Anolis sagrei: one gene and its partners. The protein of the gene in region 3 purifies or fractionates together with the protein of the main gene of each other region. This does not show direct contact. Links are inferred from orthologs where the notes say so. Each region holds a gene or a part of one and is shown on either strand. Other genes may lie near its edges.

The links.
Region 1: the proteins of SMAD1 (region 3) and RUNX2 purify together in Homo sapiens (affinity purification with western blotting; 3 studies listed by BioGRID). This does not show direct contact. The link is inferred for Anolis sagrei from reciprocal best matches to the Homo sapiens genes SMAD1 and RUNX2.
Region 2: the proteins of SMAD1 (region 3) and SKI purify together in Homo sapiens (affinity purification with western blotting, with the first as the bait; 3 studies listed by BioGRID). This does not show direct contact. The link is inferred for Anolis sagrei from reciprocal best matches to the Homo sapiens genes SMAD1 and SKI.

The regions. Positions count from the first base shown.
Region 1 is NC_090021.1:148,149,625-148,160,110, reverse strand, and holds the start of RUNX2 (runt-related transcription factor 2), read right to left. Parts: upstream 4,894-10,486; 5' UTR 4,675-4,893; intron 4,465-4,674; 5' UTR 4,400-4,464; coding exon 4,342-4,399; intron 3,111-4,341; coding exon of another isoform or gene 3,088-3,110; exon of another isoform or gene 3,048-3,087; intron 2,970-3,047; exon of another isoform or gene 2,913-2,969; intron 1-2,912. UniProt on the Homo sapiens protein: Transcription factor involved in osteoblastic differentiation and skeletal morphogenesis. Essential for the maturation of osteoblasts and both intramembranous and endochondral ossification.
Region 2 is NC_090033.1:1,174,798-1,185,640, forward strand, and holds the start of SKI (ski oncogene), read right to left. Parts: upstream 4,841-10,843; 5' UTR 4,485-4,840; coding exon 4,047-4,484; intron 1-4,046. UniProt on the Homo sapiens protein: May play a role in terminal differentiation of skeletal muscle cells but not in the determination of cells to the myogenic lineage. Functions as a repressor of TGF-beta signaling.
Region 3 is NC_090025.1:47,266,980-47,278,132, reverse strand, and holds the start of SMAD1 (mothers against decapentaplegic homolog 1), read right to left. Parts: upstream 3,998-11,153; 5' UTR 3,556-3,997; intron 1-3,555. UniProt on the Homo sapiens protein: Transcriptional modulator that plays a role in various cellular processes, including embryonic development, cell differentiation, and tissue homeostasis.

The DNA of each region.
Region 1 (10,486 bases), on a different chromosome or scaffold from region 3:
TCTCCCTGTCATTCTTTTCAACCTGCAGAACCTAAGATAATTTTGCTTCCTTTCTGGAGCCTTTAAAGCACTAAATGTTATTTACCATGTATGCGTTTTATTATTTTTTAGATGTTGCTGACGGGGGAATTCTAAATGACATTGAGCCTTTGTATGCTGCAATTTTAAATATTGAAGAATACTGATTTAAAGTATTCTGAAGCAAATCAATTCTAAGACCACCTCTGAACAAATTATAGCACATGTGAGGGTTTTTGGTAGTGCTATTAAAATAGGGTGGCAGGGCCATTTCATATTTCTGGTAGGCTAGTTAAGGCAGCCTACCAGATTTGACATTTGCCCAGTTTATAAAAGAATTTGAGGTGTTACCCCTTCTTTGACTTCACTTTTCAAGTATGCACTGGTGCACCATTAATCATAGGAAATGCAAAAATAAATAATATAGTTCCCTTGGATTTTTGTGTGTGAATACTTAACTTTTCCTCTCATTTTTTGTATATACAGTTGAGGTATTTTGATAACCCCTAACCTTTACTTCAACAAGGAGGTACAGTATAAAAATGTTACCACAGATTTCATATGAGTAGCTTTCTCTAAGAAAACGTTTAGATGAATATTTATTGGAAAAAAAGGAAAAGTTTCTATGCGGACTGACTAAGCTCAGCTTCGCTCCTATAGTTTAGACCACCAGAGTATAAAATTAAAAGCACATGGATTTTGAATCACTAGAAAAGGGTTGTAATTGATTAGCGCTGTTTGAATGTACTGAAGTCGAGTAAGTTTTGATTTGTGAATGGTGCTATTCAATAAAGATTAATCCTGTATGCCTGATAAAATCTTAGCTTCTCCAATGAATTTGCTTTTTTCACTTACTTGTGTGTTTAACTGTCAAATATTTAGTGTTCTTGTCAACTAACTAGAAAGTGTTTTCTTTTTAGGCAAATTTTCATAAGATTGTGACATTTGAATAATAAGAGGAATATTATTACTTAAGGGATCAATATGCAGACCTGTTCATTCATTGCCTATACAGTATTTGAGATGACTGTGGATTCAGAAGATGTGAAGTAAAAACATTCTGGCAGAAAGAGACTTGGTTCTGATTGGAAGTGTTCAATATGTTCTCCCCTTATCACAATTTTAAATTGCTACAAAATATTTTACCAGGTGATTTTGCACCTGAAACTTCTGATACAAATATAGCAATGTACTTACTTAAGTGCTCTGTGACTCTTCTCAAAGGAGTAAATAACACGAGTGACTCATATAACTCACAGAACATATGTTTATATATTTGGGAAAGCATATTGAGTGCATCAATACATGACACCATCTAAAAAAACAATTGTGTGATTTATTTTGACTTGTCTAATCATGGTACCTAATCATTGTTAGGTAATGTACCATAATATTTGGATTCCCAGAAATGTGAGCTATCTTTTCAATTGGTATGTTGGACAATTTCTGTTAAAAGTAGCAAGAGATGAAGAAGATGAAACAGAGGAACGACTTGGTCATCTCACCCATGCATTTTTTTAACCTTGTGTGACATTTGGAAGATCAGGAGTAAAGTATGGGCTCTGGCCTCTTCCACACAGCTGAATAAAATCCCACAGTATCTGCTTTGAACTGGAATATATGGCAGTGTGGACACAGATATCCCAGTTCAAAGCAAATATGGTGGGATTTTTCTGCCTTGATATTCTGGGTTATATAGCTGTGTGGAAGGGCCCTCAGTCTGGCCTGATCTTCATCACTAGGTCCATTGAAAGGAATAGGGGCAGCACAAGAGCACATAGTGGGCTTCTTCATTTAAATTAACTCCTCTTCTATATTTTTGGTATGTTTAGAGTAAATGTGCTATTGCTGCTTTTACCTGCACAATAAATTAACCGGCTAAATTATAAGTAATCTAGATCAAGGCCTCAGATACTGAATTTGCATTCATTTATAATATGAGTTACAAATAAATGATATAAAATACACTTGCTGCCATAAGTACATGCGGATTTTTAAAAAAGATTACCTAAATCTCTCTTGGATATAAATGGTGGAAATTACTAGCTTATTTACTAGCCAACAATAATGGTCTTCATTCTAATGGACAGGTGATAATTTGGCCGACAAGGAAGCCATTGCTGATTAGAAGAGATTGCTGAATGGAACAGTAAAGCAACTGATGCATTCCCATTGGCATGAATCAGAACTTTTCATGGACATATACTAGCTGTAAATGACTTAAGATATTTATATTACTCTTTTGAAACAGCTACCAAACAACAACAAACAGCTTTAACCTTTAACTAAATATTGCCACCACAAAATTGTAAAGAGCTATTAATATTTTGACCTGAAAATTTATTATTGTTTGGCCATTTCCTTGGCCAGTCTTATTTCAACGTGGTAGATTTGGAAGGATGATTTTTTCCGTGGCCTAGACATTTTCTGGTGATTTAAAGAATGACCCAAAGGAGAAAAATTAAACAGTTAACCCAAGATATAATTTTGTCAGCTAAACTTCTTGTTATTTCTTTTTGGATGTTAAAGAAAGTCCCTGTACGTGTAAACTGTTCTTCCTGTTATAAACGCTGGAATAATGTGGTCTGGCTACCTTTATGCTGTGCTTCATTAAAGTAGATGTTTGGGTTGAAAAAAATGCTTGCTATTCTAAAAAGCCTTGGCCTTCTGTGCCACATTTTAGCATGCTGGTTGCCTAATTACGGTGTAGCTCAGTGTGACAAACTTTCAGAAAGTCAGCTTTGAGGCAGAGGTCTATATAATGCATTCAAATGTCTTTGGATATCAGAAATTACACAGGCCCCTCTGTTCCCTGAGTACAAGCCTTGCTTCATATCTAATTGTGCTCGCAGATTGCACTAGATTCATATGTTTCGACAAGAGCCAGTTGAAACGTGTGAAGTAGGAGGGGTAAAAGGAACTCCGGCCATCAGCTAAAGAGAGAAGACAAGGTGGGTGCCTGCACTGAAAGCATTTCAAGCATCAATCAGGTCCCCGTTGCCCCCCCCCCCCCCTTAAAAGAAAAAGGGAAATTTATTAGCTTACAGCCTCGGTATAATTTTGAACCAGATGGACAACGTTAAAGGAATATTGTAAGTGTTTTGATTTTTTCCCCTCTGTCTCTGTGTTGATCTTGTTTAGACATTTTTGAAAATATGTTTGTAGTATTTCCAAGGAAGGAAAAACACCTCTCTGGCTGCTGGGCAAAAATCCTTTGGGGTTTAGACAACTGTATCTTTAGAAGCTAAAGATCTCAGCACTGCTGCCTGCTGTATAAAACTCCTAGTCGTATTATGTATTCTTAAACAAAATTTGGCAGTCTTTTATTTCATGTGGTATTAATATATGTTACTGACATAATTTCAAAAACAGATCCTAGATGGCCAAGATCAAAGGGTTGTTAGAGGTGCTGCTTTACAGCTTGGGAACTTTCCTCGTGGACTGCATTCATTCAGTGCCTTTGCTGAGTTTACGTCTTATCCTAGGATGATATTATAAGCCGTCTGTTTTAAAAGAGGCATTGGCAAAGGTTTCAAAAACATTTGCAACATTGGAGGTATCACATCCATCTGCATCATTCTGTTTTGCAAAAAAGATCTCCGTATGTATGTTAATCTTTTCAGAAGAGCATAATGTGTTTCCTTTAACTTTTAGTATATTTGTAAATACATTTATAACATTGAGAATATGAATTGATACATTATAAGTCAGGTTAGGTACACAAATTTGCCAACAACTGTGATCCTTAACATAAATTATTCTGAAATTTGTCACATCTATTTACATGGAAAGAAGGATAGTTTCTCTGTGCTAATGCATTGTTCGCAGTGGAGTATGGGGCCTTCTTATTATAACAAAATATCGGGATCTACGTTGATCCGTCTATTTTGTCTTCTATATGACTTGATTGCAATGTGATGATACAAATTTGAAGAATTCTGTCGCTCTGAAGTTTGTTAATATATCGTGGGATATACCTATTTTAATAAATTTAATAAATGAAAAAGCTGATGGGCCTTCATTCAGTTGGTTTAATATTGATGGCCCACATTGTAACTCTATATTTGTAAAGCTGACTTCAGCAGTCGTAAGTTTTCCATATAGGTGCCTGATTATTCAGAGAATTGCATAATGAAGAGCACACCTGTAGCTCAAGGAATTGTAGACATAGTAAAATAGTACTATTCTGGGTATTTAAAAACAACAACAATGTTATACACAGTTCTATTTCCACTATGTTCAACAGTATCAGTTTAAACAGAAATAGGTAATGCATAGTTCATTGGTATCAGCAATATTTCATAGCATTTGGCAGTCACTTACCCCAGAAGAAGTTTTGTTGACAAGGTGTCACTGAGCCGAAGAGACTGTTTGATGCCATCGCTCTCCCCTCTGCCACACAGTATGCGATTATCTTCTGGTGCAAAAACTGTCTGAAGCCTTAAACTGAAATCACAAACCATAGCCAAGCTTGATTTTAGTTTTTACAGCATACCCAGGGTGCATATATTTCTCTTCTGTGTCAAAAAATTCTGCAGGATGGGTAACATGCTACAGAAAGCAAAGAAACAAAACAATTCCAAAAAAGGAGGGGGGATAAGCAAATATTAGACAGATCTACTATTACTGAATAGACTGTGGTTTGAGAGTACTTACTGACTCTGTTGGTCTCAGTGGCTGCTGGTGACCTGTTGAGATTAACCATTTAAAAACCAAAGGCTTCTCGCTGTGTCCTTTTGGAGAAAGTTTGCACCGCACTTGTGGTTCTGTGGTTGTTTGTGAGGCAAATGAAGCATTCACACAATCCAAAAAAGCAAAAGCTTTAAAAATCCCTTTTTTTGCAAGCACTGTTACTGGAGAGACAGAATCATGTGGTTGGTGACATCATAGTAGTCAAGTAAAGTGGGACTGCCCAGCACTGTGGCTTTTTCTTTCCTCCCCCTTTTGAAAGTCTGACAAAAGGCCCGTGGTAAGGTCCTTCCTGGTATCCAGAAGGATATAGCTTTTTAAATTTTATGACTCATGAGGATTTGGAGGGCATACAAAATGCTGAAACAGCCTAAACCCCTGTGCTGTTTAAGCATATGGACAGCAGAACTTCGTTTATACTCTCCCTGCCTCTTTTTCTCTTCTTTCTAGCCCCCCCCCCCCCCATCCCAATTGTGTCCGTGGAGAAGCATGCCAGAATTGGCACAAATGTCTGTGTGAAATTCTGAACAACAGTGATGATTTACAGTAATTTACATCTTTGGGCTCTATCATGATCTTGGGGTCTGCTTCAGATTTGCTGGATTCCTTCTGTTTTTCTTTTTCTTCTCTTCCTCTGCTTGTGAATCTGTAACTCATTGTAAGAAACTTTACCTTTCCTCAAGTCCTACTAGCAGACAGCTTACTGAGGCTGTGTTTTGGGTCTGTAATTGGCTGTCACCAAAGTGTTAGTCTGGGGATTCTTTTGCAAACCTTAAATCATGTCTGTCTAGGTTACGTGCTCCCAAGGCTAGATGGCAGCTTTATTAAGTGCAATTATATGTCAACCTTTTCTGTTCCGTACAAAACTTGTCATATACATATGGTAACATCTACATTTTAAAATGGAGAACGGGAGGATATAGAATAGAAAGAGTTTAATATTAAAATTAATGCCAAATAATTATATACTTAGTATATTATAGAAAAAAAAAGAAGAAAAAACAGCGCTTACTGTAAGCAGATTTTGGCAAGCAAGTATCAAGTAATTGGAATGCTCTCTTTGAAAGTGAATGCGAATCTGGTTCATTTGTCCTGCCTGGACAGATTGATGTGTATGTTTATATGGCCTCTTAAAATGGGCTAGAATGCAATTATCTACCAAAGGCTACTTAATTATATTCACGCCCATCATTAAAAAGTGAATCTGCCTAGGATTTAAGCCTCAAGTTGAATTAAATTATATTGTGTAGGTTTTTTTTAAAAATGTCAGGAGCGATTTGAGAAACTTCAAGCCGCTTCTGGTGTGAGAGAATTGGCTGTCTGCAAGGATGTTGCCCAGGGGACACCCGGATGTTTGATGTTTCACCATCCTGTGGGACGCTTCTCTCATGTTCCGCATGGGAAGCTAGAACTGAGACAGGAGCTCACCCCTGCTCCCCGGATTCGAACCGCCAACCTGTCGGTCAGCAGTTCTGCCGGCACAAGGGTTGAACCCATTGTGCCACTGGGTATGTTGGTGAAAGAATAGAAATACTTTACTGTGGTATTTTTTATTTGCCCATTTGTGTTTAGAACGAACTTAGAAACATCTTTGACAAATTATCTAATCTTTGTCCCTATTACTCCTGGTGCAGTAGAGTCTCGCTTATCCAACAGAAACAGGCTGGCAGAACGTTGGATAAGCGAAAATGTTGGATAAAAAGGAGGGATTAAAGAAAAGCCTATTAAACGTCAAATTATGTTATGATTTCACAAATTAATCACCAAAACATCATGTTTTCCAACAAATCGACAGAAAAAACAGTTTTCAATACATGGTAACATTCTGTAGTAATTACTGCATTTATGAATTTAGCACCAAAACATCGCAATGTATTGAAACAGCTGTGGATCTGGGCGGAAGACAGACTGTGTTGGATAATACAAAATTGTTTGATGAGCGAAGATTGGATAAGCGAAACTCTACTGTACTTCATAGTTTTAATGGCAGGTTTGGATGAACTAGTTTTCACAAACTGAACCATTAGTTACCAGCTTTTTAACACTGCTTCCTAAAATGTGGGTCCGGGTGCCAAATGGGACCCCATTAGCTCGATGTTGGTATCACAAAAACAGTAAAAGGTTTCTGAATGCCACCCACTGATTTACTCAAATCTGTTAGGAACAACATGCAGTTTTTACAGTGGACTCTGCAGAAAATGCTTCAGCTGTACACAAAAAGGAAAGTCAGCCTGTTTAGCAAGCCTTGTAAATGCTGATTTATTATTAGTAAATATTTGATTTATATACCTGTTTTATATACCTATATACCCAAAAAGGGGTCACGAGTGGAAAAAAGTTTATGAAGCCCTGTTCTAGATTACATAACAGTTGCCTCCCTTGCACTTAACAATCATCAGGCATTTCAAGAGGGCCACAGTAAGGATCTTTTTATAAATTCACATAATTAAATTTAACTAATTTAAATGATGGCTCAGATGTGAATGATACAATCAAAAACTGGATATTATACATATGTATGTACAGTATATTATCAAATATGCATGACATTTGGACTGGATGCTTTTAAAAAATTTGTTCAGCAATTTTGGGTTTTTACTTGTTATAGTTTGATACTAGGAATGATACTTGGAAATAAACCCATCCTCATGGATGGCCATCTATTGAGAGTGCTTTGAATGCAATTTTCCTGCTTTTTGGCAGAACGTTGGACTAGATGGCCCACAAAGTCTCTTCCTGTTCTATGGTTCTATGTAGATGGATTTTGAGACTTACAGTGAAATTCTTTATGGTTCTACTCTAAAATAAAGCCAATGCACTGCTCACATGACTATATCAGGCTGGCTCTCAGTGTAACTTACTGCTAGGTAAATGAATATGTAAATGTATATAAGATGGAATAAATTTATTTAGGGAGCATCAGCGTATTTCCGAGCGTGTTTTTTCTTGCTTGGAAATATTGGTAAGGAAACCACGGTTGGAAGGTACTTTGAAGCTTGGAATAGAAGATACATTTTTTCTTAAACAAAGCTGTAAGCTATATATTGACATATTTTTGAAATCTGCAGTTCTTCCAGCAACCTAAATCTTGAATGTTTAAATAATTTAAATAATTTCCCTAATATGAGTGAACATTACATTCGTTAAGGCCAATAAACACTAATCTTTGTGCTTCTGTATAGCTTGTGTGTTTGTGTGTTAGACCTATTTGCAGTTTTATTTGGGATTATTTCTTTGTTTTTGTTTTTTGAGATATGGTGTGACAAGTTCTGTAATGCAGATTTAAAAATAAACATGCTTTGTGGTTTGTCTTCTTTGAAATGGCTTATACATATTTTAAAGATAAAAATAGAGTAATAATATGTCCTTTTTGTTTTAAAAAGATATGTGTGAAGGTAAAGATAATTCTATTTATGTTATCAACCATGTACTTATTTATTTACAGTATTTATACCCCACCCTTCTCAACCCTGAAGGGGACTCAGAGCGGCCTTACAAAGACAACAATTTGATGTCATATACACAACAGACATAAAATAAATATATACATTAAAACATGAATTTAAAAATCATATAAAATTAAAACACATTATTAAAAAACACAATCCAAAATCATAGTCAAAAAGCCGTTCCAATTGTCATTGCACATTTTCCCATCATCACTTATTGCACTGCACTACCATCAGCAGCAACAACTTTAGAACAAAAAAAACTGAAGCAAACTTTGAAAGTTACTTTTTTTTACCATGTGACAACAGTATTGTCCAGAAATCTCTATTGTGGTTTGGTAGCAGCAACATATTTGTATTATTTTTAACTTGTATTATTTTGATAAGTAGTTAACCTTGGGTCCCATTATTTGGAGAAAGTGGGATATAAATAAGTAATAATAATAATAATAATAATAATATGCACTCATCATTCGAAAATACATCACAAAGTCCTAGACATTTGGGAATTGTTTGACTTGTGATTTTTTGATACAAAATCCAGCATATAGATCTCATTTGCTGTGACATACTGTGCTTTTGTGTCAGTAAAATAATATGCTTTTTAATCTAAAAGTAAACATCAATTTTTCTAAGTTAGTTGATCCAAGAATGTTTTTGGACATGATTGAGGAAATAATTTAAAAAAGAATGGTCCTGCAAACCATGCACCACCTTATATTAACAGCATGATCACTGATGCATTTGGATCTATTTTACCATAAAATCATGAACAAGGTCATTTTCCCCAATCCATATAACCTCCTGAACCACAAAACGTTCAAAATCCTTTTGGCAAACCTGTAATCCTCACTTTTTGTGTGGTGTTTAAATGTTTATATTTATTTGCTTTTAAGCAGTGCGTACAATGTAAATAATACATTTCAAAAAATTATTCGTGTTGAAATAATTTGTTTTTATAACAGATCTAAACAGTCTATTTTTTCTCTGAAAAATACCTTGTATGAATAGCCTATAGAAAATATTTCTGTTTTGGTAGTTCTGTAAAACGTCTGTAGTATGCCTTTTAAAACTAACTGGTAGCCACTGCTGTCCTAGCTTGAACTCCATTGCAATATTGCAAAATAATATTGTACCATTTAAGACCAATGTGACTGTATTCTATAAATAAACTGCAGGCCACTCTCCTTTGTAGTCCTTTGTACTTTTACTAGCTTTCTATACCATTCCAAAATGCTATAATACTTAGCACAACATCGCTAAATACTATAATTACAGTATCTCACCATTTTGCATCAACATGCTTCTGCATTTGTAATGCAGTAGATATAGCAAGGTTGTTATATTATCATTAAAACTTTTCCCTCTGCCAGAATGTGAATTAATTAATTTGAACTGTTTTCTATATTCATATGGCAATAGTGATAACATATATCAACTCAAATAATGGGAACAGTGTCAGCATATATGAACTTTTTCAACTTTTCATGCTTGCAACCACTTTCTGCCTGGGAAATGTTTGTTACCTCAGGTATATAGGTTTATAAAATAGATGATGATGATGATGATAATAATAATAATAATAATAATGTAATAATAATATAATTATTAACCACTTCTTCTCACAGCTTGAGGTGGGATACAACATGATAAAACTATTAAAATACATATAACAAATATACACGGGTAAAATGCAGGTTAAAATTGACAAGTGAAAATTGATTGGATAGGCCTATCCGGAGAGATGGGTCTTCTCAAATTCCAACAGCTGATTTGCTGATGAATCAGCATTTGCAAGACTTGCTAAATAGGCTAACTTTCCTTTTTGTGGAGTACAGTTGAAGCATTTTCGGCAAAGTCCACTGTGAATGCTGCACCTTGTTGCTAACAGATTGGTGTAAATGTGTGGCGTTCAGACACTTACTGTTGAAAAAGTTTCATGACTCCAACATTGAGCTAAGGGGTCCCATTTGGGGTTGGGATACGAACGCAGTAGGTGCCCTTTTTGTTTAGTTACATTTATATCCCATCTCCTCCCCCCCCCCCCCAATTATTGTCACAGCCTTTTAGAGAAGAGACTGAAGATGAAATGTAGAGAGTGATCCAAAGTCTACCGGTGAATTTCATAGCAGAGACTTGAACCTGGATCCCTCAAGTCACAGTTCCACACTCTAACCATGTTGCTGGCTCTTTGCTGAGGAAGTATTTAATTTTTCTCACATTTATGAAGATGCAAGAGGGATCTCCAGATGCAGCAGGAAAGGGGGATCCAGTTTATCTCTTCCCAAGAGGAAATTAGGGATGGAATTGTATCTTATTTGAAGAAAGCT
Region 2 (10,843 bases), on a different chromosome or scaffold from region 3:
GCTGACAGAGGGAGCTCATCTGTGCTCCCCCAGCCCACCCCTGGATTCGAACTTCCGACCTGTCAGTCTTCAGTCCTGTCAACACAAGGGTTTAACCCATTGTGCCACAGGGGGAATACAATAATAATAATAATAATAATAATAATAATAATAATAATACATCACACAGTCCTAGACGCTTGAGAAGTGTTCAACGAAATCCAACATATAGATCTTGTTTGCTGTGACATACTGTGCTTTTGTGTCAATAATAGTAATAATAATAATAATATTTTTGTCTTGTATTTTATGCTAAATGGGCTTTTATTTGTATTGTGTTGTGAGCCTCTTTAGGGAGAAAAAATTGGAATAGAAATAAAGATCTATAATAATAATAATAATAATAATAATAATAATAATGTGTTTATTTATATCCTGCTTTTCTCCCTAACGGGACCCAAAGACAACATAATACAATACAAATCAAAGCACATTTAACATAAAATATGAGACAAAAATCACACAAAGCACACTAAGGTCCAGAAATATGATATAAATAATTATCTCGTATATTTCATATCATATAAATTTATATTTCGTATCATATAAATTAAATATCTAAATATATATTTATAAATATATAAAGATTAAGCATGAAAAACATTTAAAACCAATTACAATATTTGTGGAGACTCATCCATTAAATAGCTATTAGTTTTTAAATTTTAATTTTAATCTAGCGATAAATGTATATTAAGCGTGTATGTTTATATGGGTCATTTGAGTTTTCATTGCCAGTTATTCTTGTTTAACTTTAACGTTCGGTGGCTTTTATACTGCTTGATGTGGCCTGTTTTGATGTAATTTGTTTGTATGTTTTTCCTTTCTGGCATTGAATGTTTGCCATATATGTTGGAAATAATAAAAACTATTTGCAGACCGCCCGAGTCCCTTTGGGGAGATAGGGCAGTCTGCAAATAGATTTATTGTTGTTGTTGTTGTTGCTGTTGTGCAAACTGACCTTGTTGTCATTAGCAATTGAATTCATGTGTCAAAAGCTTGCTTGAACAGGCAGGTCTTCAACCGGTTCTTTAAAGATAACAGGGAAGGGACAGTTTTCATCTCAATGGGAAGGGAGTTCGAAAGGGCTGTTAGGCTGTAAGGAATTCTGGGAGTTGAAGTCCAAAACACCTGGAAGGAGGGCCGAAGTTTGCCCATGCCTTTTATATATTATATATACTACAACTTAGGATATAATACAATATATTCTATAATACTAATAGCATATATAGTGTCATAATAATATAATTTTTATATTATATATTACATTTTACACATAATATTGCACTACAGAGCTATAGTACAATATAGTAAGATATCATACTAATATGGTGCTATGCTAATAATAGCATATTTTATATATACTACAACTTATAATACAATATATTTTATTATACTAATAGAATAATATTCTGGTAGTGTATTATATATTGTGGTATAATAATATAGTGCAACATAATGTATAATAGTTGGATATTATTATTAATATCTTATATATACTACACCTAATGATATAGCACAATATATTCTATAATGCTAATAGTATAATATACTGCCAGTGAATTATATATATTGTGGTATAATAATATATAATATAGTAATTGAGCATTATATGTTAGACGTAATATTACTAATAATATTGCATTATATTATATTACTAATAATATTGCATTATATGTTAGATGTAATATTATTAAGATTGCTTTATAGTACACCATAGTAAGATATACCAGTACTGTATTGTATTATGCTAATAATAGAACATATATCTTATATATATTACAGCTTATGATATAATATATTTTATAATAATAACTATAAAATACTGAGAGTTTATATTTATTGTGCTATAATATAATACAATAATTGCATATTATACATTACATGTAATATTACTAATTATATTGCAATAAAGTGAAAAAATACAATATAGTATTATATCATACTAATATTGTGCTATGCTAATAATATAATATTAATTATAATACAATATAATAATGGTATATTATATGTTACATGCAATATTAGTAAGAATATTGCCATATAGTGGTATATTACAATATAGTAATATACCATACTAATATTGTGCTGTGCTCATAATATATTTTATATACATCTAATATTGATAATACTATAATTTAATATAATATTAATAATAACTGTATATTATATGCTATGCTCATAATATATTGTACACACATATAATATTGATGCTATCATAATGCAATACAATATAATCCTAATAATACAATATAATAATTGTATATTATGTTACATATAATACTACTAATCAAATTGCAGTATAGTGGTATAGTAAAACATAGTAAGATAGCATACTAATATTGTGCATTGCTCATAATGTAATATATTGTATAATACATGCAATGTTACTAATAATATTACAGGATAGCAATATATTATATTAATATATAATACTAATACAATATAATAATATAATGCTAATAGAAGAATAACGTATAATACTAACAATACAATATAATAATAATGCAAGAATAATATAATAATATAGTACTAATATACAATAGAATAATACAAATATTATAGTAATATAATGCTAATACAAGAATAATGTAATATTACTAATACAATAATATATATAATACTAATAACACAATACAAAATATAATAAAAAATGAATAATATAATAATATGGTACTATTACAATATAATAATGGAAATATTATAGTACTATAATGCTAATACAAGAATGTCATATTAATAATACAATATTAATATGACATTATTCTTGTATATTACTATAATATTTCTAGTATTACATTGTAATAGTACCATTTTATTATATTGTATTGTATTATTAGTGTTATATATTAATATTATTGTATTATTAATATGACATTATTCTTGTATTAGCATTATATTACTATATTATTTGTATTATGTTGTAGTACCATATTATAATAATATGGTACTATTACAACATAATAATAGAAATATTATAGTAATATTATACTAATACAAGAATGTCATATTAATGTTATTGTATTATTAATATGAATAATATAATAATATGATACTATTACAATATAATAATAGAAATATTATAGTAATATTATACTAATATAAGAATAATGTCATATTAATATTATTGTATTAATATGAATAATATAATAATATGGTACTATTACAATATAATAATAGAAATATTATAGTACTATAATGTTAATACAGGAATAATGTCATATTAATATTATTGTATTATTAAGATGAATAGTAAAATAACATGATACTATTACAATATAATAATAGAAATATTATAGTAATATAATGCTAATACAAGAATAATGTCATATTAATAATACAATAATATTGATATATAACACTAATAATGCAACATAAGAATAACAAGAATAATATAACATAGTACTAATAATACAATATAATAATACAATTATTATTATGTAATAATAATACAATATAATGATGATAATATTGTAGTAGCAAGGATCCAATGTATAATATTGCAATGTGCCAGGCCTGGGCCCACTTGGGCCCTCCCTCCAGGGGGTTGGGACTCCAACTCCCACCATTCCTAACAGCCTACTACAACTCCCACCATTCCTAACAGCCTACCGGCTGTTAGGAATGGTGGGAGTTGTAGTAGGCTGTTAGGAATGGTGGGAGTTGTAGTAGGCTGTTAGGAATGGTGGGAGTTGTAGTCCCAACCCCCTGGAGGGAGGGCCCGGCTGTTAGGAATGGTGGGAGTTGTAGTAGGCTGTTAGGAATGGTGGGAGTTGTAGTCCCAACCCCCTGGAGGGAGAGCCCGGCTGTTAGGAATTGTGGGAGTTGTAGTAGGCTGTTAGGAATGGTGGGAGTTGTAGTCCCAACCCCCTGGAGGGAGGGCCCGGCTGTTAGGAATGGTGGGAGTTGTAGTAGGCTGTTAGGAATGGTGGGAGTTGTAGTCCCAACCCCCTGGAGGGAGGGCCCAAGTGGGCCCAGGCCTGGCGGAGGTTTCTCCGCGTCCTTACCTTGAGGATCTCGAGCTGGTCGGCGTTGCACCGGGAGCAGTAGATGTGGAGCTCGTCGCAGACGGCGTTGATCTGCTGGAGGGAGAAGTCCCTCAGGACGGAGTTGAGGATCTGGGGCAGGCAGAGGCGCTTCTCTCCGCCCACCACGAAGCAGGAGATGGTCTCCCCCTCCAGCACGGTCTCGCAGCGCTCCGTGGAGCGGTCCGAGGGCAGGAAGAAGGGGCCCGAGGGCGGCGCCGGCGGAGGGGGAGCCAGCAGCTCCGCGCCCTCCTTCCCGGGGCCTCCCCCGCCGCCTCCCCCCTTGTAGATCTCCTGCGCCCAGCGGGCCGAGAAGGCGGCCGGCCCGCCCAGGGAGCTCATGGAGCTGAGGTGGAACTGCTCCAGCGTCTTCTGCAAGCCCGGGTGAGGGTGGAAGCCCCCCCGCGTCACGGCCTCCATCTTCGGGGCAGAGGCAGCGAGCAAGGCCGGCCAGGCGGGAGGCTCCACTCACTCCTTCACAGGCCGCGGCCTCGCCTCACCATCCTCACCCTCAGCGCCTCCTTCTCATGATCCAAGTTCTCCTCACGCGGCCTTCACCGGGGAAAAAAACATCGCCAGGCACACTCCGAAATTGAACAATCCCCTCAAAAAATAATAATAATACAAGAAGAAGAAGAAGAAGAAGCCGGGTCCAATTGGGAAATCCTGAGGTAAATAACGGAGAGTCGCCCCCTCTCTCTCTTCCTTCTCCTCCGCCTCACGTCCTCCTCCGACGCCCGCTCCGGACAGACTGAGGGGAGCTCCGGCGCCGAGATGCTGCCGCTGCGTCTGCGCACGCGCGGAGCAAGAAAGGGGTGGGGCTTAGTGCTCAGCTCCGCCTCCCTTCGCTCGAACGTCCCTCTCACTCCTCTCTCTCTTCTTGGCCCCGCCTTCCCTGTTACTCTTTGCGTAAGGGGCGTGGCCTCTTCTCCCGCTCCGCCTCCCTTCCCTCCGACTTCCCTCCCTCACTCCTCTCTCTTCTTGGCCCCGCCTTCCCTGTTACTCCCTGCGTAAGGGGCGTGGCCTCTTTTCTCGCTCCGCCTCCCTTTCCTCCGACTTCCTTCCCTCACAGCTCGAGGGGGCGGAGCCTCGTGTTCGGCCCCGCCTTCCCTGTTACTCTTCTTGACAGCTTAGAAGATGAGACGTCGCCCCGCCTCCTTGTGCGTAGGAGGCGTGGCCTCTTCTCTCGCTCCGCCTCCCTTTCCTCCGACTTCCTTCTCTCACTCATCGAGGAGGGGGCGGAGCCTCGTGTTCGGCCCCGCCTTATACTTAAGGGGCGAGGCCTCTTCTCTCGCTCCGCCTCCCTTACTTCCGACTTCCCTCTCTCACACCTCGGGGGAGGGGGCGGAGCCTCAAGTTCGGCCCCGCCTTCCCTATTACTCTTTGCGTAAGGGGCGTGGCCTCCTGTCTCGCTCCGCCTCCCTTTCCTCCGACATCCCTCTCTCACTCCTCTGGGAGGGGGCGGAGCCTCGTGTTCGGCCCCGCCTTCCCTATTATTCTTTGCATAAGGGGCGTGGCCTCTTGTCTCGCTCCGCCTCCCTTTCCTCAGACTTCCCTCTCTCACTCCTCTGGGAGGGGGCGGAGCCTCAAGTTCGGCCCCGCCTTCCCTGTTACTCTATACTTAAGGGGCGTGGCCTCTTGACTCGCTCCGCCTCCCTTACTTCCGACTTCCCTCTCTCACACCTCGGGGAGGGGGCGGAGCCTCAAGTTCGGCCCCGCCTTCCCTATTACTCTTTGCGTAAGGGGCGTGGCCTCTTGTCTCGCTCCGCCTCCCTTTCCTCAGACTTCCCTCTCTCACTCCTTTGGGAGGGGGCGGAGCCTCAAGTTCGGCCCCGCCTTCCCTGTTACTCTTTGCGTAAGGGGCGTGGCCTCTTGTCTCGCTCCACCTCCTCCCTAATACAAAAGGAGGCGGGGCTACTAGATGGAGCGCCTTCCGTCACTCTGAACACCCGGCCTCGCAAAAGGGGCAGGCAGAGGGCGGGGCCTGGTATTAAGCCACGCCTTCCCTCTGAACACACGGCCTAGCAAAAGGAGAGGAGGGCGGAGCCTCGTGTTAAGCCACGCCTTCCCGCTAAACACCCGGCCTCGCAAAAGGAGGCGGGGCCTCGTGGTTCGCTCCGCCTCCCTTCCCTCCCCCTTCCCTGTCACTGAGCCATCGCCCCGCCCCTTTTGCATGGCGGAGGGGCTTCGAGGTTCGCTCCGCCTCCTTTCCCTCCGCTACGCAAAAGCGGGCGGAGCAAAATATGGGGGCGTGGTCTCGAATTGTGCTCCGCCCCCTTCCCTCCTGGCGGCTTGAGGGGCGGGGCTTTGTTAATCGCTCCGCCTCCGTTCCGCCGCTTTCCCACTCAATAAAAGGGCGGAGCAAGGGCGGAGCCTCGGCAATGCTCCGCCTCCCTCTCGGCGGGCAGCCCTCGGCGCGTGCGCACCACGGGAAAAGGGCGTGGCCTGTGCGCTGTGCTCCTCCTCTTTCTCCAAACTCTCCCCTCCGCCTCCCTCTCCTCGGGGCGACAGCGCGTGCACGCTACGAGAAAGGGGGCGTGGCCTTAACTGCACTCCTCCTCCTCCCTCCCAAAATCTGGCTTCTTCCGATAGGGGGCGGGGCCTGGGTGAGGCTCCGCCCTCTCCTCCTCTTCCCTCCCTCCTCGCCACTCTCAGCAACAAGCCAATATACAGGCGCGCATGCGCACTGGTTCGAACGTTTGATAAAGTTTTTGGTTCACAGGAGGCTCCGCCGGGGAAGGAAAGGCGGGCGGGCGGGCGCGTTAGGCTCCTTTTCTCAGCCTTTCTCTTTAGTTTTAAGGCCAAAGGTTGAATTCCTCCTCCACCCAATCCCGTCCCTAGATATAAAAACTGTAAGTTTTATAATCTAGCAAGCGCTCAGATATTTTCAATTCAGATTTGAGGATTGCCTCCCCATTCAAAACAACTACACAGTCAACTATTTCACAAATCAAACATCTAACCTGGCTGAAACTTTAGACTCTCAGTTTGGCTTGTGAATAGGGATTATATATTATGATATTATTATCAATGAAGACATATAAAAATGGATCATGTCTGCCCCCTCGTGACCATCAAGCGTATTGCTTTCTAGTTAACCAAACATCATGACCTCACAACCTCTGAGGATGCCTGCCATAGATGTAGGCCAAACGTCAGGAGAGAATGCTTCGGGAACATGGCCATATAGCCCGGAAAACCGACAACAATCCAAACATTACTGTGAGTTTTCCAGGTTTTATGTCCAATGTTCCCGAAGCATTCTCTCCTGACGCTTCGTCCACATCTATGGCAGGCATCCTCAGAGGTTGTGAGGTTTGTTGGAAGCAAGGCAAGATTCTTAGAATCATACAATTGGAAGAGACCTCATGGGCCATGCAGTCCAACCCCGTTCTGCCAAGAAGCAGGAAAATCACGTTCAAAGCACCCCCGACAGATGGCCATCCAGCCCGTTTCAAAGCTTCCAAAGAAGGAGCCTCCTCCACACTCCCTCCGGGGCAGAGAGTTCCACTGCTGAACGGCTCTCACAGTCAGGAAGTTCTTCCTCATGTTCAGATGAAATCTCCTTTCTTGTATTTATTAGGGCTGGGCAACCACGAAAAAATTTGTTTCTAAACTCGATTCGTTTTTAGGGGGGGTTGCATTTCGTTTTTTTAAAAAATTCTGAAATTTTTCTTTAAAAAAGTTCAAAATTTACGAAATTTCGGAAATTACGAAACAATTTCGAAACAATAACGAATCGATTCGTTAATGGCGGACGCGATTGCACAATACGCTAAAAAACCCTCCAAATGGGACAGGGGGAATTTCTGAAGCTTCCCTCTCCCTCTGTTGTTGACTGTTGGTGAAATAATTTATTTTTTTATCACTGATAAAACAAACAACAACTATAAAACTTGCACCAGACATACGGAAATAATAACGAAACAATTACGAAACAATTACGAAATAAATTTTAAAAATTCGTTTCGATTTTTAGTTGCTCCTGAATGGTTCAATATCGGATCGTAAACCAATTTAAATATGAATTATTAACAAAGTACGAAATTAACGAACGAAACCGCCCAGCCCTAGTATTTATTTATTTACTTACTTACTTCATTTATATACCGCTTTTCTCAGCCCTCAGGCGACTCAAAGCGGTTAACAGCAGCAAAAATACAATGCAAAATATCATAAAAGGATTATGGGACAGTTAAAACAATAGCATCATCAACAATTAAACATCAAATCGTAGTTTGAAGCCACTGTGTCCTAGTCTCCAGGGCAGCAGAAAACAAGCTTGCTCCCTCCTCCTCCCTGTGGCTTCCTCTCACATATTTATACATGGCTATCATATCTCCTCTCAGCCTTCTCTTCTTCAGGCTAAACATGCCCAGCTCTTTAAACCGCTCCTCATAGGGCTTGTTCTCCAGACCCTTGATCCTTTGAGTTGCCCTCCTCTGGACACATTCCAATATCTCTCTTCAATTGTGGTGCCCAGAATTGTACACAATATTCCAGGTGTGGTCTAACCAAAGCAGAATAGAGCATGGGGAGCATGGCTTCCTTAGATCTAGACACTAGACTCCAAACCCAAGAGTGGTGTATATATCTATGGAATAATGTCCAGGGTGAGAGAAAGAACTCTTGTCTGCTGGAGGCAAGTGTGAATGTTGCAATTGGCATTGAATGGCCTTGCAGCTGATTGCTGCCTGCTGCCTTCGTGGAGCATTGAATGGCATTGAATTGCAGCGTTCTTGGAGGGATCCTTTTTTGAGAGGTGTTAGCTGACTCTGATTGTTGTTCTTTGTTTACTATCCTGATTTTAGACATATTTGTTTTACTACTGGCAGCCAGATTTTGTTCATTTTCATGGTTTCTGTTGACATTATCGACATGTTTATGGATTTCAGTGGCTTCTCTGTGTAGTCTGACATGGTGGTTGTGAGAGTGGTCCACCATTACACGTCAACTGGGCTCTCCAGGCCAATGGAGACTCCACCACAAACGTCAGAAGAGCTGCAAGGCCAAGAACAAGCCACAAGAGTCAAGACAAAAGCCCAACTAGAGGAAAAGTGTTCTCACCATATATCAAGGGAACCACTGAATGTGTCGCAGCTCAGAGTAGAGTCACCTTGCTCCAAACACCAAACCACACAAAGGCTGAAGATGTTGTAGTTTATTGAAGAAAAGAAAAGTCTTAAATGCAAAAGTCCCAAAATAGCAAACAGCCTGAGGCATAATCCAAAGAACATTGATCAAACAAGATTCCATGACAGCAAGACAGAGTCCCCGGAAGCCAAGAACATGGCCCAAAAGCTAAGGCAATCCAAAGAAGTTACGAACAGAAAGATGGAGTGGCTATGGGGAGCCCTCTCAGCTAACTTCTACATGGAACACTTTGAAAAACAAGCCCTAGAGACAGCAACAAAAAAGCCCACGATATGGTTCAGAGATGTGGATGACACTTTCACCATTTGGAGTCATGGAGAAGAGGAACTCAACAGGTTCCTGGACCATCTTAATAGCATCCACCCAAACATATGGTTCAGAGATGTGGATGACACTTTCACCATTTGGAGTCATGGAGAAGAGGAACTCAACAGGTTCCTGGACCATCTTAATAGCATCCACCCAAACATATGGTTCAGAGATGTGGATGACACTTTCACCATTTGGAGTCATGGAGAAGAGGAACTCAACAGGTTCCTGGACCATCTTAATAGCATCCACCCAAACATATGGTTCAGAGATGTGGATGACACCTTCCCCATTTGGAGCCATGGAGAAGAAGAACTCAACAGGTTCCTGGACCATCTTAATAGCATCCACCCAAACATATGGTTCAGATATGTGGATGAACTTTCACTATTTGGAGCCATGGAGAAGAAGAACTCAACATGGTGAATATCCAGTTCACCATGGAAAAAGGATGGTGGTGTATTTCAGACAGAGGCGGGGCCAAGAGCAGGGCCTCCCTAGAAGATCTTAAACTCCAAGGTGGGCTGTAGAAGAAGATAAGTTCAGACTGGTACACTGGACCGGAGTTGAACGTGATGTATGTAGACAGTCCACGTTTTGCAGGCGTATAGCAGGGTTGGGAGGACAATAGCTTTATAAACAAGTCCCTTGGTATCCCAACGGATGTCCTGGACCTCAAACACTCTCTGCTTCATTTGGAAAAATGCTGCACTCGCAGAGCTCAGGAGCTGCTGTATTTCAGTGTCACAAGCATGTGGACAATGTCAACAGAAAGGAGGAAATGATGAAAATGAACAAAATCTAGCTACCAGTATTTTTAAAAAACCTCTAAAATTAGGAAAGTAAATAAAGAACAACACTCAGAAAACAGGGGAATTCCAGACAAGAATCAATCAAGTCCAGCTAACACTTCCAAACGAAGGATTCCCCCAGGCAGCAATCAGCCAGGCTTTGAAACTACAAGGCCATTAAATGCTAATAAAGGCGGCCAATTGAAACATTCTTTTTCCCACCCTGGACATTCCATGCATGTATAAACCTCACTTGCCTAGTTTCCAACTGACCTCACCACCTCTGGAGATGCCTGCCATAGATGTGGGCAAAAGGTCAGGAGAGAATGCTTCTCGAACATGGACAGACAGCCCAGAAAACTCACAGCAACCCGATTCCGGTCGTGAAAGCCTTCGACAACACATTGTGTACAGATTATTTACAATACTATAATGCAATGCAATATAAAACTAATAATCACCATATGATATTATAATTATATATTTATAGTACATGTAATATTACTAATTTATTTATATTTATTT
Region 3 (11,153 bases):
TTTTTCTCTAGTGTCATCATCACATTAGAGGAAAAAATCCACTTAAAATCCAGTTTCTGCCTCCTGCAAAATTCTGGGGTTTGTAGTTTAGGAAGGAGCCTTTAACAGTCTCACTAAACTACAAATCCCAGAATTCTGTAGAGGCAGATTTTAAGTGATTTTTTTCTCTCTAGTGTGATGAAGTGGTAAACAGATTTACTCAGCTGTAATCCTTAAACAAGAATACAGACAGAGTGGCATGGGGTAAATGGGCACAGCTTCGAACATTTAAAACAGATTGTTGCATTTTCATGAGAGGCTGCAATTCAAGTATAAACTCCGGATGTGCATTTAGTTTAATTAAGAGCAGCTTTCTATTAGTATTCAAGAGTGATTCATCCTCCGACCCGTTTGCAATATGCCTTTTCAGCAAGAAACTCTTAACCTATGGGTAACAGCTACATTTAAGTCACTAGGGAAGCACCAACTGCGGCTGGAAATATATAGCAAAAATTAGTGTCTCTTAATTTTATGTATATTTAGCCATAGTAAAGATCAATTGTGTCCTGAAGCCACTCCTCAAATTAAACCAGCAATTCATATTGAGACCAGGTAATGAAAATCTAAACAAGTTCACATGCAGCTTCATCAACTGCTAACAAAGGAATAGAAAACTACTCTCCTTTCTGCTTTGCAACTCAGAGGAAAGCAAAGACCAAAAGGAAAGCCTTCTGAACAACTGTTGCCAAACTGCATCAATTCTACAGTGTAGATGCACTCTAGATCAAGGAAATTCTTGGGCAAGTTACAATTTCTCAGCCACAGAGAAAAGCAAAGACTGAAAGGAAAACATTCTGAATAACTGATGTCAAACTGCATCACATAGTGTAGATCAAGCATGGGCAAACTTTGTAACTTGGGGGCCTTTTGGTGGGCTGGAGTGGGGTGGGTGGGTGGGCCGAAAGGGCTTCTCCCCAAGTTTCCTCCCTGCCCTTTCCTCCCCTTCCTCTTCGCTTTCGGAAGCAAAACATGAAGGAAAGATGGGAAACACTTGGATCCCATAAGGGTTGGCCTTGGTGAGGATGAGATGGTGGACTGGAGAGAAAAAGTGTATCCATTAGACACCACATTGCCTACTCCTGATATAAAATCCTAGAGTTGGAAGAGACCCCCAAGGGCCATCCAGTCCAACCCCCTGCCATGCAGGAAGGCACAATCAAAGCACTCTCGACAGACAGCCTCTGTGGAAAAGCCTCCAAAGAAGAAGACTCCACCACACTCCCAGGAAGCCTAGGCCACTCTCCAACAGCTCTTACTCTTAGGAAGTTCTTCCTAATCTTTTCAGTCGAATAGCTTTCCCTGCCATTTGAACCCACTGCTCCTTTGTGCCCTGGTCTCTAAAACAGCAGAAAGTCAGTTTTCCCCTTCCTCCTCAGTGGGACACCCTTGGAAATCTTGAAACATGGTTCTCATGTTCCCTCTCAACCTCTCTTCTCCCACCTAAACATCCCCCAGGAGGAAAGGAGGAAAGAAAAGGAGAAGGAACGGTGGAAGAGAATGGAAGGAGGGAGGAAAGAAAGGAAGGAAAGACAAAAGAGAAGCAAGGAAAGGAAGGAAAGGAAGGAAGGAGGGAGTAAGAAAGATTGAGGTAAAGGGAGGAAGAGAAGGATGGAAGGAAGGAAAGGTGGAATAGAATGGATAGAGGGAAGGGAATGAGGGAGAAAAGAGAGAAGGAAGGAAACACAAGAGGGAAGGAAGGAAGGAAAGAAGAGAGAGAGGAGAGGGAGGAAAGAGGGAAGGAAGGACAGAGGAAAGGGTGGAAGGAAAGGAAGGAGGGAGCCAAAAAGAGCGAGTTAAGGGAGGGAAAGAAGGAAGGAAGGAAGGAAGGAAGGAAGGAAGGAAGGAAGAGAAGAAAGGGTGTAAGAGAATGGATGGAGGGAAGGAAAGAGAGAAGGAAAGACAAAAGGGAAGGAAGGAAAGAGAAAGAGAGAAGAAAGGAGAAAGGAAGGAAGAAGGGAGCAAGAAAGAGGGGGAAGGGAGGGGGGAAAGAAAGTCAGAAGGAAGGGAGCATAAGATGTTGAGAGAGAGGAGGACCTGAGAAAAGAGCCCAAGGGGCAGCATCCTGCTCCTGGGCCTGGGTTTGCCCATACCTGCAATAGAGAAACCACAACTTCCATAATTCCCTATCACTGAGCCATGGTGGTTAAAGTGGGATCGAAATGCATTCATTCCACAGTGTAGATGCACTCCAGATCATGGAAATTCTTGGGAGTGAACCTTGGGCAAGTTCCATTCTCTCGGCCAAAGAAGAAAGCAAAGTCTGAAAGGAAAGCCTTCTGAAACAATTGTTGCCAAACTGCATCAATTCCAGTGTAGACGCACTCTAGATCATGGAAATTCTTGGGCAAATTACATTCTCTCAGCAGCAGAGAAAGACTGAAAAGAAAGCCTTCTGAACAACTGACGCCAACCCCACAACCTCTGAGGATGCTTGCCACAGATGCAGGCGAAACGTCAGGAGAGAATGCTTCTAGAGCATGGCCATACAACCCGAAAAACCTACAACAACCCCAGTGATTCTGGCCATGAAAGCCTTCGACAATAAACTGATTCCATAGTGTAGAGATGCACCCCAAGACTTGCATTTTCCCAGACCCCCCAAAGAAAAGGCTCCAAAGCTTGGACTAAGGGCCCTTCCAAATAGGCCCTATCCTATATCCTGGGATCTGATGCCAGTTTTTTCTGTTTATCCCAGATTAGCTGGCAGTGTGGACTCATATAATCCAGTTTAAAGCAGAAAACCTGGGATCAGATCCTGGGATATAGGGCCCTAAGTAAAGAGAAGAGGATGGGGGTGGGGGCTGGCTTCATGTGCCTCAAAAACCCCAAAGGGAGAGACAAGCCCCCCTCCATTGTGTCGGCCGGGCTGCTTTCTCTTCGGCGACGAGGGAAAGAGAAACGGGAGGAGAAAGGAAAGCAGGAAAAGTTTCCCTAGACTTGGCTTTGGGCACAAAAGGAGGCCGCAGGGGAACAAGAGCCCCCATCCAAACGGGACTTCTCTGTGAAGGCCTTCTGGGGCTCCTTCCCAGGGCGCTTTCTTTCCTTTCTTTCCCTTCTTCCCCAGGAATGATGTCCCTTCCCTCTCCAGGAAGAGAAGACACACACACAAGAAAAAGATGGAAACCGCTTGTAACTTTTTGTGTAACTGTAACAGCGTGGAAGATTCAGCTCTTCCAGGAATCCTTGTTGTTTGGAGGCACCCGGCATCTCCTTCCCTGAAGAGAGAAGGCAACGAGAGCGACCTTTTCTTTCTTTCTTTTTCCCTTGAGGAGCCACAAAGGGCCCTCCATACAAAGGGGAAAAGTTTTGAAGGCTCTTTTTGAACGCCACCGCCGCCATCATGAAGGCTGGGAAAGCACCCAGGGTCCCCTTTCCCCCTTCCAACCCGGTTTTCTCTCGAAGGAGAGCCAAGGCAAGGCCCCCACTTGCCCAGAGGGAGAGGGAAAAGATTCAGCCACTGACTGGAAGGGTTGCACATGGAAGAAGGGGGAAAAAAGAGCAAAGAATGGGGCTTACCGGTGTGTAAGTCGAGGCGGGGAAGGAGGAAAAGGATTTCCTCCTAAAAGAGAAGATTGGCAAGAAGATTCCTTGCTGTTTCTTTCCTCTCCCGTTTGGATGTTGCTGCTGCTGCTTTTTGCGCCTTCCCTCTTGCTTGCTTGCTTGCTTGCTTTCTCCCTCTCTCCTTCTCCTTCTTCTTCTCAGCCGCTGCTGTTCCTGGATTGATCTGGTCTCACTGGCGTCAGAGAGTCGGAGCCACCCAGCCTCCACTTACCCCGCTGCCAATACACAACATACACACATATATACACACTCACACACACACTCACTCACTCACACGAGAGCTAGGGATCCTCTCCAAAAGGCCCACCCTTTTTGGGAAGGCAGGGCTGGCTGGCTGGCTGGATGAGGGCTGAGCGAGTGGCAACGCCGCCTCCTCCTCCTCCTTTCTTCCCTTTCTCTTTCCCTCTCTCAACCCAAGAGGAGGCTTCCTCTCTTCCCCTCAGAAGGACGGCCTTCTTTCCCCCCAGTTCCCTCCTTTCCCCCTTTGCATTGAATTTGGTCAGAAAACGTTTGAGAAGCACCCAGAGAGTAGGGTTTCTTCCACTCCCTCATAGCTTTGGCCCGCCTGGCTTTGGGGGCGTCTACAATGGGGAATGGATGCACTTTGACACCGCTTTCACTGCCATCTCTCCATGCTATGGAGTGGAGAGAGTTTGACCAAAGTCTTGAGTCTTCTCTGCCTGGGCTTTCCCAAACTGCTAGGATCATTTTATCGAAAAGACCAGAATCAAGATAGCATATACAGAACGCCATTCAGAAACGGGAATTCCAGACAACAAACAACTAATGGCTAGTTAACACCGCCTAAACAAAGGGTGCCTCCAGGAACAACAGCCAAGCTACATCTATGCAGATACCCTCACTTTGCAGCAGCAAAGCTACTCAATAATAATAATAATAATAATAATAATGCCTAGATGCTTGGGAAGTGTTTGACTTATGATTTTGTGATATGAAATCCAGAATATAGATCTCGATTGCTGTGACATACTGTGCTTTTGTGTCAATAATAAGAATAATAATAATCATCAACATCATCATAGAACATAGTTGGAAGAGACCTCATGGGCCATCCAGTCCAACCCCCTGCCAAGAAGCAGGAATACTGCATTCAAAGCACCCCTGACAGATGGCCATCTAGCCTCTGTTTAAAAACCACCAAAGAAGGAGCCTCCATCACACTCTGGGGCAGAGAGTTCCACTGCTGAATGGCTCTCACAGTCAGGAAGTTCTTCCTCATGTTCAGATGGAATCTCCTTTCTTGTAGTTTGATAATGCAATCAAAGCCAGAACTGAAAAGTTGACAACAGATCCCAAATGTAGACTCTGCAAGGAAGCAGATGAAACAATAGATCACATCCTCAGCTGCTGCAAGAATTTATTGGAACTTGTGCCACAAATACCATCTGCCTGCAACAAAGAACTGTTGGGATCACAAGCTGGAAAGAGTTACAGAAAATGAACACGCCAAACTCCTCTGGGACTTCCGGATTCAGACAGACAGAGTTTTGGAGCACAATACTCCTGACCTCACAATCGTGTTAAAAAACAAAGTATGGATTGTGGATGCTGCAATCCTAGGTGACAGCAGGATTGAAGAGAAACAACTGGAAAAGCTGACACGATATGAGGATTTAAAAATCGAACTGCAAAGACTCTGGCACAAGCCAGTCAAGGTGGTCCCAGTGGTGATTGGCACACTGGGTGCAGTGCCTAAAGACCTTGGCCTGCACTTAAACACAATCGGCGCTGACAAAATTGCCATCTGCCAGCTGCAGAAGGCCACCTTACTGGGATCTGCATGCATTATTCGCCGATACATCACACAGTCCTAGACATTTGGGAAGTGTCCGACGTGTGATCCAATACAACAACCAGCATAATGATCTTGTTTGCTGTGTACTAATCTTGTTGTGTTTCAAATAATAATCATCACCTTTATTGTGTTCTCGAAGGCTTTCATGGCTGGAATCGTTGGATTACTGTGCATTTTCCAGGCTGTATGGCCATGTTCCAGAAGCATTCTCTCCTGACGTTACATCCACATCAATGGCAGGCATCTTCGGAAGTTGTGCTATAGAATCATGGGAGTTTTACAAGGTCTTGTCTTCTCTGCCAGAGAGAGTTGGGGCCTCTCCAAACAACTGCCAGGATTGCAGCCGCATTGCATCACAATCATCAAAGAGATAATAGTGAAATAGTACTACTATTAATATTACTACTAATACCATAGCCTTTGAGTTATGGCAGTGAATGTGGTAGTCAAACTGCATTCTGGGCACCCTTTATCCTCAAGGAAGAACAACAGGAATTTATTCATTTATTTACTTACTATATTTCTATACCGCCCTTCTCAGCCTGAGGGTGACTCAGGGTGGTTTACAAAACGGCACAAATCGATGCCACAATAATATAAAAACAGCTAAAAGCATATAACATACATAAAATTCCATAAACAGTAAAATCAATAAAAGCATAAATCTTCTGCATCTCAGTACGAAAATTGTTATCTGATAACAATTGTCCAGTCGTTCCGAGGTCAAGAAGTTATCTGCTACACTGCATTTGAGAAAGCCTACTCACAAAACCAGGTTTTGACTTTTTTACAAAATATTAAGAGGGTGGGGGCCGATCTAATGTCCCTAGGGAGGGACACTGAGAAGGCCCTATCTCTCATCCCCTCCAACCGAACCTGTGAAGAAGGTGGGACCGAGAGCAGGGCCTCCCCCAGAAGATCTTAAATTCCTAGACGGTTCATAAGAAGAGATACATTCAGATAGATAAGCTGGTCCAGAACCATTTATGGTACATCTTTTGGAATAGGATGGAGGTGTATGTATGTATTTCTAAGTCCTTCGGTATAACACTATGGTTAACTTTCGTGGGAAATTGCCCATAGAATCATACTGTAGGGCCTAGAGAGTGCTACAGAGATAATAGTAACCAAATCTGCAAAAGTAAAAAAATGTGGAAGTGTTATTATACAAGAACTTTGGGGAATGGAGGAAAAATCCATTTCAGGGCCAGAATGCTTATCTGGAAAGGGACAGTCTCCTCATTTTGTGTGCCCCCACCCACCAGCGATAACTCTGATACTAACTGTAAGTACTTATAATAAAGTGTATTTGATTATGAGATTCATGAATTTAAGGATGCAATTAATCACATGGTAAGATAGGTGTATATAAAATTTCAGAGGATGTGTTCCTTCCATTAGGGTGCAGACCTAAGCACTGGCTAATGAAATCCACTGAACTTATTAGAGCAGGGAATTGGTATTTTGTAGCTCTCCAGAAGTCTTTGAAGTGCAACTCCTAACATTCTTTGCAATGGGCTATTCTACCCAGGACTATTGGGAATTAAAGTTCACCAAGACCTGGAGGGCCACATGATTCTCACATCAGCACTGGAGCTCTATTCTGGTTTAGCATGCAGTAGGTTGTGCTGTTATTTATACGCAGACAAAAATAACATCTTCCTGGTGCTGGAAAACTCCTACTGTGGCAGAAACTTTTATTGATTGTAGCTCTTTATCGAGGTGTGAAGTCATGCACTTTAAGTGGTTTCTAATCTGTGAAAGCTTATACCACAATACATGTATTAGTCTTCTTGGTGCCATAAAACTCTCTTCTTGTGCCTATGTGCATGGACACACAACACAGATGAAGACAATGGGCGAAATCCAATGATGGTCCCAACTAAAATAAACGTATTGACATTAGCCGCAAGCAACATGAGTTCCATTGATTTCATTGGATCTGCTCTGGTTGGACTAATGCTTCATTTAACCCTGGCTATAGAATTCAGAAATTAATAGTCCAAAAACCTAAAATGCCCAATAGTTGGAAAGAAACACTTTGTTGTTAAAGTCCACATTTGTATATTGTTCCTAACTCTAACTCATGTTGTTGCTGTTGAATGTTTCCATATCTTATAATGTTAGTCTACAGCAGAAAATTCACAGGATGTAGACATCAAACATCAGACTTTATTCTCATTATAAAAATATTTGGGCAAATTTCTCAAACATGTTATACGTATGTTTTGTTGCAGAAAACGTTGGCGAAGCTCTGATGTTCATTCCAGCTGCTAGAATGTGTGGAGTGGCCCTTTATATTTCATGACCATGGTAACATGTCAAAGAGGATTCTGGATATAGGATAGGCATATATTATGGAGTATATTTTCACAAATGAGATGGAGGCTATGGACAGAGTTATCATCTTTTAAAAGCCAGCAGCCCCAGAGGAGAAAAGTATTTGGTACTCCTACTATTCCATAAAGATGTACTGATGGAGAAAAGTATGATGGATGTATTGCTCTGCTCATCATGTAGCACTTATATTAAAACAGCGGTTCTCAACCTTCCTAATGCCACAACTCCTTAGTACAGTTCCTCATGTTGTGGTGACCCCCAACTATCAAATTATTTTTGTTGCTACTTCATAAATGTAATGTTGCTAGTGTTATGAATCATAATGTAAATATTTGATATGCAGGATGTGCTTTCATTCACTGGACTAAATTTGGCATAAATGCCCGATATGCCCAAATTTGAATACTGGTGGTGTTGGAGGGAGGGATTGGTTTTGTCATTTGTAGTTGTAGTTGCTGGGATTTATATTTCATCTACAATCAAAGAGCATTCTGAACCCCGCTAAAAATGAAATTGAACCAAACTTGGCAAACAAAATCTCCCATGACCAACAGAAAATACTGGAAGGGTTTCGTGGGCATTGACGTTAGGTTTTGGACTTGTAGTTCACCTACATCCAGAGAGTACTATGGACTCAGACAATGATAGATCTGGACCAAACTTGGCATGAAAACTCAATATGCCCAAATGTGAATTCTGGTGGTGTTTGGGGAAAATAGAATTGATATTTGTGAGTTGTAGTTGCTGGGATTTATAGTTCACCTACAATCAAAGAGCATTCTGAACTCCACCAATGATATATTTGGGCCAAACTTCCCACACAGAACTCCCACAACCAACAGAAAAACTGTGTTTTCTGATGGTCTTAGGTGACTTCTCTGACACCCCTTCGTAAACTCCCCCAGGGGTCCTGACCCTGCATTAAAAGATAGAGTTTCTACCTACTGTATCAAGTACAGTACTATGTTTTATTTGTCCTGTTGGCCATGAGACTACAAATCATATCTATTGTAAATGACATAGCACTGAAGGAGTAGTAGATCAAGAATAAAAGAAAATTGAAGTCTTGGACTTGTTTCCTGCAACCAAAAGGATTCAGATGTTACAGTATATTTCATCCCCAACCCATATGTCCAATATATGTCTTAAATGATGCCAAACAGGACTTGCGACCTCATCACATTCACCAAATTCAACTTTCCAGGATGCTGCCAGACTGTTTTGGGGACAGAACCCTACACTGGTCATCACATGACTTCCAGTGTTTACAAATTTTAACGGTTGGAACACAAAATGGTGATTTGACATGAATAAAACAATATCTGAAGACCAAAACATCAGAGCCCATCCCAGAGAAAGAAGGTAAGGTACTTATTTTGTCGGGTTGGAACCAGAGCTTGGAAAACAAAGAAAACAAGCATTGTGGGAGACAGGCCCATAGCTAGGATTTTGATTTGGGGGGCGGGGGCCGAGTTTGATTTTGGGGGGCAGCTGAGTCTGAGTGAGAGAGGGTCTACCCTAGCAAACCTTTTGTATCGTTACCCCAATACCCCCATGCATATGGGATATATTGAGCATGGTGATCAGATCATGATATGAATAAAATAACAGTTTAAATAATGTACCAGTAAGCCCCTCAAGCCCCCCCCCCCCCTTGCCGGCTACATGCCTGGTGGAAGACTTAGTTCATAAAACTTATTTTTTTAAGATCTGCTCAGAACATTTTTTAAAAGATTAACTCCACATCATTTATTGGTTTCCAGAACTTGCATTATTTTCACCCTGTGTGGCAATATGAAGGAAATCTGCATTATTTAGTCCAGTCCCCTATCTTCAACAACTGCCAGCCAATTACCCTTACGGGGCACACCATTTTGAGAAGACAGCTATTTTGCCACCTGTGAGTCGCAATTATAGGAATTCTATCTCTGAATGTTTTTATCTCATTTTAATCTGTAATCTGTCAACCAGGCTCAGGGCTATCTCTGAACTGAGAAGATAATCTTTGTGTGGGCTGTATTCAGACTGCAGGTGTGAACTAACTTGGCTGAATGTTTCCCATATGTCATCATTACCATTCCTTCACATGGAATACTAAATGAGAGAGAGGAATGCTAGATGGTGTTGTGTGCTTTCAAGTTGTTTCCCACATACAACGACCATAAGGTGAAACTATCATGGGATTTTATTGGCAAGATTTGTTCAGAGGGCATTTACCTTTGCCTTCCTCTGGGTGAGAAAATGTGACTTGCCCAAGGTTATTCAATGGGTTTCCATGGCTAAGTGTGGGCCTGAACCCTTGCATCCAGAGTCATAGTCCTCTAACTCAAGCCATTACACTAGAGGAATTCTAGGGTAGTCTTTTCACAATGTGTTAGTTTTTTAAAGGCAAACATTTATTTTATTAGATAAACATTCAGTCAAACCAGTATCCACCTACACTCTGAAGTGGAATTGAATAGACAGAAGCATGTTACCTGATCCAGAACAAAATGATTGTCAAAGGAATGTGACACACATATATTTAACTATCTGATGCTCTTTAATCAACCTGTCATATATTTGAGGGTAATAAAAAAGTAGTAAGTGGGGAGATTTTTTTCCTCCTTGTTTTTAATATCTGCATGCCAATTAAAAATTATTTACAGGGCCAAATTTAGAAAATCTCAGAATAATAGGACTTTCTGTATCCATAGGGAACTACAGTTTAGGAAACATTGTATGAACACCAAGCACAAAGTAGCTGCATACAATAACATTCTGTGGAAACTTACTAGCAACGCAGACCCATCAGCCCTGGCCTTGTCTTATTCAACTACGGAGTATGGCTGCCCTGTTTGGCACAAGTCTGCCGACGCGAAGCAGGTGAATGTAGCACTGAAAGAAACATGTAGAATAATCATAGGATGTCTCAAACCTACAACTGTTGATAGATTCTATAAGCTAGTTGGCATTGCCCCCCCCCCCCCCCCCATATGCAATGGGAAGTTGTTGCTGACTGTGAGAGAAATAAGGTCGAACACTGTGAAAGCCAAACACAGCATGGCTATAAGCCTCCTCCCAGTAAACTCAAATCAAGCAAAAGCTTCATGAGAACCACCACTCTTCTTAACGTTCCCTCAGCAACAGTAAAAGCATCTCTCTGGGCAGCTAAGTCAGGAAATCCCAACTGGATGGCCCTCCATGAGGGTCTTCCTCCAGGGGCAAACCAAGAATGGTCAACTTGGAAGTCCCTGAACAGACTCAAAAGTTATTTATTTATTTGTCATGTCAGAGCAGCCAGTCCATTATATTACATTACTCAAAAGTGAAGTGGACAGATCAAAAGACAACCTGGCTAAATGGCACTATCTAGAAGAATCTTCCATGTTGTGCGTCTGTGGAGCAGAACAGACAA